2 linked regions of the Oryctolagus cuniculus genome follow. The protein of the gene in region 1 purifies or fractionates together with the protein of each later gene. This does not show direct contact. Links are inferred from orthologs where the notes say so. Each region holds a gene or a part of one and is shown on either strand. Other genes may lie near its edges.

Evidence for each region.
Region 2: the proteins of PDRG1 (region 1) and POLR3K purify together in Homo sapiens (affinity purification with mass spectrometry; 3 studies listed by BioGRID and IntAct, with this or other methods). This does not show direct contact. The link is inferred for Oryctolagus cuniculus from reciprocal best matches to the Homo sapiens genes PDRG1 and POLR3K.

The regions. Positions count from the first base shown.
Region 1 is NC_091442.1:25,803,086-25,806,992, forward strand, and holds the start of PDRG1 (p53 and DNA damage-regulated protein 1), read left to right. Parts: upstream 1-1,232; 5' UTR 1,233-1,376; coding exon 1,377-1,463; intron 1,464-2,646; coding exon 2,647-2,722; intron 2,723-3,907. UniProt on the Homo sapiens protein: May play a role in chaperone-mediated protein folding.
Region 2 is NC_091450.1:34,577,117-34,580,091, reverse strand, and holds the end of POLR3K (DNA-directed RNA polymerase III subunit RPC10), read right to left. Parts: intron 811-2,975; coding exon 683-810; downstream 1-682. UniProt on the Homo sapiens protein: Core component of RNA polymerase III (Pol III) which synthesizes small non-coding RNAs using the four ribonucleoside triphosphates as substrates. Can mediate Pol I proofreading of the nascent RNA transcript.

The sequences.
Region 1 (3,907 bases):
CAGACCAAGCAAGGCAGCAGTGACGGCTCAAGTCCTTGGGGTGAACTCCCAGCTCCTCGCCTTGGCCTGACCCAGCCCTGGCTCATTAAGGCATCTGGGGAGAGAACCTCTGTCTGCCTACCTCTGTCTCTCTCTGCTTCTTGAATAAAGGTTACACTGGATTCAGGGAGGCAGGGAGGTCAGAGTCTAGATCAGGTCTGCTGTTAATGCTTTTTAAAGAGATTGATTTATTATTTATTTGAAAATCACAGTTACACAGAGAGAGAAGGAGAGACACAGAGAGAGAGAGAGGTCTTCCATCTGATGGTTCACTCCCCAATTGGTCGCAATGGCTGGAGCTGCGCCAATCTGAAGCCAGGAGCCAGCGGCTTCTTCCAGGTCTCCCATGCAGGTGCAGGGGCCCAAGGACTTGGGCCATCTTCCTCTGCTTCCCCAGGCCAGAGAGCTGGGTTGGAAGTGGAGCAGCCAGGACTCAAACCAGTGCCCATATGGGATGCCGGCACTCCAGGCAGCAGTTTTACCTGCTACGCCACAACGCCGGACCCTGCTGTTAACTTTTCAAAGTCCTTCCTTCCCTGATTTCCCAGCCATTCCATGAAGGGGAAGGGCATGAAGAGCCCTAGGGAGCCTCCTGGTTCTGCTGGGAGCCACTTGCACCCACCTGCCTCCTCTGGGTGCCCTCCTGGATCCCATGACCCAACACCAATTCACTGTCCAGTGCATGCAGACCTCTTTTCTGACTTGGAGCTTCAAGGGTCGCTGCCCATAGTTTCCAGCCCCTCCTTTATGTCTAGGTCAGCAACTCTGGACATCGGACCCAACAGAGGGATTCAACAAACACGGGTCAAACAAAAAAAAATTCACTGCTTCCTCCGAAGACCATGAGGGGATTCCTAGGCCTCTTTATTCATAACCGGGAAGATGACGGTGTCTCAGGTTAAACATAAGTCCCACTGCCACACGGGCTTGACTTCCACTTCTGCAAAGCCTTTACCACTACCCACCATGGCGTATAATTATTTGTCAGTGTTTCCCACTAGTTTCTTTATTCACTGCCAACTGCCTGGCATCTAGTGGGTGCATAGGAAATATTAGTAGCGGGGAGGACCGGGAAGGGTAGGAGGCAGCGCTCTCTGCCGATTGTGTTCTTTGGGCCTGCAGGGGGCGCTCCAAACGCGCTCCTCAAAGAGAGGCCCCGCCTCTGGCGTTCCGTCAACGCGCGTGCGTCGGAGCCAGCGCGCCACAGTGCTTCTTTTGATTGCGCAGGCGCGCCGGAAGCCCTGTCCGGACGGCGCGTGCGCGGAGGAGTCGAATCGGCGCCGGAGCAGAGCTTGAACCTGGTGGCGTTTGAACTGCGGTGGTAGCTGCCGGGTGCCATGCTGTCCCCCGAGGCGGAGCGAGTGCTTCAGTACCTGGTGGAGGTGGAGGAGCTCGCGGAGGAGGTGCTGGCGGACAAGCGGCAGGTAGGAGGCCGGGCCGCGGCGCTGGGGCCCGGCGGCCAGCGCGTAGGGCAGCGCGCGGGGCCCGTGGATGGACCCGGGCCGGTGGCCTGAGCTCCGCCACCACAGGCGCGGGCGGCCGTGGTAACGTGAGTCGGACGCTGGCTGGCGTTAAGTGGGCGTTCAGTCTGGCTCCGTCCCTGTCTGCCCCGTAGCGTGTCCTCCGGGTCCTGACCCATTACCGCTTCGGGCCGGTTTCTCGAGCACCTGTTTCAAAAGGCAGTTCCCGCGCCTCGCCGCGAGTCTGGCCGCGCTGGGCCGGTCAAGGCCCCGAGGGGAGAAGAAGGGCAAAGAGGAGGTCACGGGGGCTGCCCTGGTCGCTGAGGGCGCTGCAGGCCTGCCCAGGCGGCGTGGGTCGGGTTCTGATTTAAGTGCCACGCTTCTAAAGAGAGTTCACGGGGAAGGGGTGGGTAAAAAGCTGGACCTAGGCTTTAGGATATTCCCGCAGCTGTGCGGATTATAGGAGGGCGAGGATGGAGGCCAGGAGACCAGCGAGGGGCGTTTGCCGCTCCAGGTTTTGGTGCTGGCGAAGTGGATGGATCAGGAGGCAGTGGCAGGTGAGGAAGTGGGAATTGAGTGGTCCGCGACTCCCTGTCGTCTTCAGGTAGTGCTTGAGTGGCTGGTCCTGTGTTTACCGAGAGAGGGAAGACCTGGGGAGGAGTCGGGCTGAGTACTGCCTCCGGCGTGCGGGCCGAGAGGAACAGTGGCAGGTGCTCCCGACGGTTGTTCAGGGGAGCACATAGGAAGATGAAAGTGCCCAGCTCGCGGTGCCCAGCAGGAGTCCTCGGTGTGCTGTGCTCCGGCTCGCCAGCCCAGCCGGGCACCCCCGCCTCCTCACTGCTTAGCAGCCAGCGTGGTGCTTTCTCACCATACCGAGTCGGAGTCAGCGGGAGTACTTTGTCCAGCACCCGAGCTGCTTAGGCCTGCTTAATCAGAGTGTGGGGAGGCGTCAGATGCCCCTGGTGATTCTGGTTTAGTTACTGCAGAATCGCCCACTTAGCAGACATTTGCCAGCCCCTGTGGGGTGGGCGGCACCTGGGCACAGCGTTGTGTTTAGGAGGGGAAAGACGTCAGCAGCCCCGTGTCTGTCGGGATGTGCCAGCTTGGGCAGGAGGTAGCTGAGAGCCCCTGTCCCTGTGCTTTGCAGATTGTGGACCTGGACACCAAAAGGAATCAGAACCGAGAGGGCCTGAGGGCCCTGCAGAAGGAGCTCAGCGGCTCTGGTGAGTGGAGACTTCCTGCCCGCCGCCCTGTACCGAATGGAAACGCGTTTATCCCATAGTTTGTATAATTGTGACGTATCAGTTAGATGAAACCTCCATAGAGGCCTTCATCGTGCCCCCGGTGGAGACCAGGCGGGAGGCCGCAGATGTGGACGCAGCCTAGTGGGTGCTGACACAGCCTGGCCGGGGATTCCCGCTGGGCGCCTTAGTGGCGGGCTGCCAGCTCCTCATCAGCTGTGGCAGACTGCGCTGGGGTCCATCAAGGCGACAGCCGCTGCCCTTGTACTCTGGTGAGAAACACAGCAGAAGACGTGTAGGTGCAAGTCGGGAGGCGGCTAAGAATGGGCCTGGACGTGGGGCGGGTGCTGAGTATCTCAGAAGCAGAGCTCTGTAGGTGAGGCCAGAGTTCAGGGGGTGGCAGGGCGGGTGAGAGAGCAGAGACCCCGCCGTGATGAAGGGCCGAGGGGCCAAGGGAAGAAGTTTGTGTTCTGTTTGAAGGGCGCTGCAATGTGTACAGCCTTCCCGTTGCTTCTCCTGGCACGGAAGTAAAATCCAGAGTCATCCTGTAAGACCCCGTGTAGCCCAGCGTCCACCCCGCAACTGTCCAGTATTCTCTCTCTCACGAGCTCCAAACCCGTGCGTCTCCTGCCTGTTGTGACACCTCCAGCACATTTCTGATCTTTTTTTTTTTTAAGATGTATTTATGGCCGGAGCCGCGGCTCACTAGGCTAATCCTCCGCCTGTGGCGCCGGCACCCCGAGTTCTAGTCCTAGTCCCAGTTGGGGCGGCGATTCTGTCCCGGTTGCCCCTCTTCCAGTCCAGCTCTCTGCTGTGGCCCGGGAGTGCAGTGGAGGATGGCCCAAGTGCTTGGGCCCTGCACCCACATGGGAGACCAGGAGAAGTACCTGGCTCCTGGCTTTGAATCGGCACAGTGCGCCGGCTGTAATGCACTGTCCTTAGCGGCCATTGAGGGGTAAACCAACGGAAAAAGGAAAACTTTTCTGTGTCTCTCACTGTCTAACTCTTCCTGTCCAAAAAAAAAAAAAAAAGATTTATTTATTTGAGGGGCCGGTGCTGTGGTGCAGTGGGTTAACACCCTGGCCTGAAGTGCTGGCATCCCATATGGGTGCTGGTTCGAGACCCAGCTGCTCCACTTCTGATCCAGCTCTCTGCCATGGCCTGGGA
Region 2 (2,975 bases), on another chromosome or scaffold:
TGAAGGGCTCTGGAAGAGGAGCAGAGTGAACCTGAAGCAGAGCTCCCACCGAGGGTCTCCCCCGAGCAGAGAGAACAGAGTGAGGGTCTCCCCCGAGCAGAGAGAACAGAGTGAGGGTCTCCCCGAGCAGAGCAGCAAGGGTCTCCTCCTGGAGCAGAGAGAAGACAGCGAGGGTCTCCTCCCCTCAGCAGAGAGAACAGAGCGAGGGTCTCATCACCCCCCAGCAGAGAGAACAGAGCGAGGGTCTCCCCCCAGCAGAGAGAAGACAGCGAGGGTCTCCTCCCCCCCAGCAGCGCACAGGAGGGTCTCCTCCCCCCCAGCAGAGCGCACAGTGAGGGTCTCCCCCCAGCAGAGCACACAGCGAGGGTCCCCCCCCCAGCAGAGCGCACAGCGAGGGTCTCCCCCCAGCAGAGAGAAGACAGCGAGGGTCTCCTCCCCTGAGCAGTGCACAGCGAGGGTCTCCTCCCCCGAGCAGAGCACACAGTGAGGGTCTCCTCTTCGCCCACGAGGACTCTCTGGCCCCCGATGACTTCATCCACCGACGGACGATGTTCCTGGCACCCTGGCCCTGCCCTCAGGAGGGCTCGCTCTCTGCCACACCAGCGAAGACCCTAGGACACACAGCTCACATTCCTTGCCAGGAGTCCACCCTGGGGACCGGCACAGCTGGGCCAGCGCAGCCCTAGTCCCTCCAGCGGTGCCCGCACTGGGGGCTGCAGCACTTGTAGAAGGTGGTCATGGGCTCGTCTGCAGAGCGCGTCTGAAGCTGCATGAAGTAAGCACGAGGATGTTCGCACTTGGGACACGGCTCTGCAAAGGAGAAAAACCAACCAGGGAACCACATTACATAAAATGACGCTGGTGGGGCCAGCATGGCGGCACAGTGGGGGGCCACCGCCTGCGACACTGGCATCCTATGTGGGCGCTGGTTAGAGTCCCGGATGCTCCACTCCGGATCCAGCTCCCTGCTAGTGCAGGGCAAGAGCAGCAGAGGACGGCCCAAGTACCTGGGCACTGCCACCTGTGCAGGAGACCCAGGCACTGGCCTCAGCCTGGCCAGCCTTGGCCATCACAGACATCTGGGGAATTAACCAGCAGTTGGAGGGTCTCCTTCTCTCCTACCCTGTCATCTTGCCTTCCAAATAAATCTTATCTTTAAAAAAGAGTTATTTGTTTATTTGAAAGAGTTAGAGAGAAAAGGAGAGACAGACGTCCACCTGTTGGTTCATCCCCAAATGGCTACAACAGACAGGGCTGGGCCAGGCCAAAGCCAGGAGCTTCATCTGGGTCTCCCAAGTGGGAGCAGGGGCCCAAGGACCTGTGCCATCACCCGCAGCTTTTCTCAGGTCATTTGCAGGGAGCTGGAAGCGAAGTGAAGCAACTGAACTTGAACCGGCGCCCATCTGGGAAGCTGGTGCTGCAGGGGCAGCTTAACCTGCTGGGCCACAGCGCTGACCCCAAACAGATAAATCTTCACAAAAACGATGCTGGTGAGGGACACTTCGTAAGATCACTAAGGACACTACCAACAGAGGCTCCACTCCCACCAAGCTCGAACACTGAAGGGACAGGTGAACCTGTGCCCTGTGAAACACTCCTCCCGTCCTGGGACCCTGCGTCTCTCCCATCTGGCTGGAGACTGATTAGAGAAGTAACTTGGAAGGGGGCTATCTCCACGGTTGGTGCTGCTGTAACAAACTGCTGGAGACTGAGTAATGGGGAGAGGCTCAAACAGCTTTGAAGTAAGTACTGAAAAGCCTGTGTAAGAGAATTTCAAAGAGCTCATAGAAAATGAAACTAACAGTTTCCAGTCCATGCATAGTTTCTAAAAGATTTACGGATCTATTTGAAAGGCAGAGTGACCTCTGATGAAGGAAGAGAAAGAAGCCAAGTCTGATTAATATCAGACGCCCTGGTTAATATCAGACGCCTGTCTCCCTTCTCGTGCAATCCACAGGAATAATTTACCAACTACTGTTTAAATGCACGTTTTTCAGTAGCTCTAGAAACTTTTTTTTTTTTTTTTTTTGACAGGCAGAGTGGACAGTGAGAGAGAGAGACAGAGAGAAAGGTCTTCCTTTTGCCACTGGTTCACCCTCCCATGGCCGCCGCGGCCAGCGGTGCACCGCGCCTATCTGAAGGCAGGAGCCAGGTGCTTCTCCTGGTCTCCCATGGGGTGCAGGGCCCAAGCACCTGGGCCATCCTCCACTGCACTCCCGGGCCACAGCAGAGAGCTGGCCTGGAAGAAGGGCAACCGGGACAGAATCCGGCGCCCCAACCGGGACTAGAACCTGGTGTGCCGGTGCCGCTAGGTGGAGGATTAGCCTAGTGAGCCGCGGCACTGGCCAAGTGTAAATAATTTTTAAGAGGTGAAATCACTTGCTGGTTGTTTGTTTTTTGATACAACCAGAAAATAGTAGCATTATAATAATACAGACAGACAGACAGACAACACAGTCCATCATGGGAGGCTTCGGCTGTCGTGGCCGTCAGCTTGACACTCCACAGGTGGGGGTGGCTTTTATATCCTACAACACATACTAAACGGCAAAGGTGCATTTCATCTGTCCTGACAGAAAACCACCCGGCGTTGCTGTCAGACCACGTGTGCTCTGTCAATCTCTGGCTGTGGGGGTCCACTTTCCCTAGTGGTTTAGTTCACGTTTTTGAGTCTGTCACATACAGGATGTTACCCTGTAAAGGGCGGGATTTATGTCACATCAACGCTTGAAGATGCTGGTGCTTGATGGGAAGAGCTGCCTCCAAATTTGAAGCTGGAAATGACTGGAGTGACTTTTGAAAACAGAACGAAAATTCAGGCTTCCTAGATTCTGCCTTGCATGTTAAGAACTGTGTAAAAATGAAAATGTCTGCGTTGATTCTCAACACCAGTGAAATCTCAGTTAACAAGCAGAAGGCCGAGACCTTCCTTCTGCGCTTCACTCTCCAGACGGCAAGAGCAGGAGCCGGTCAGG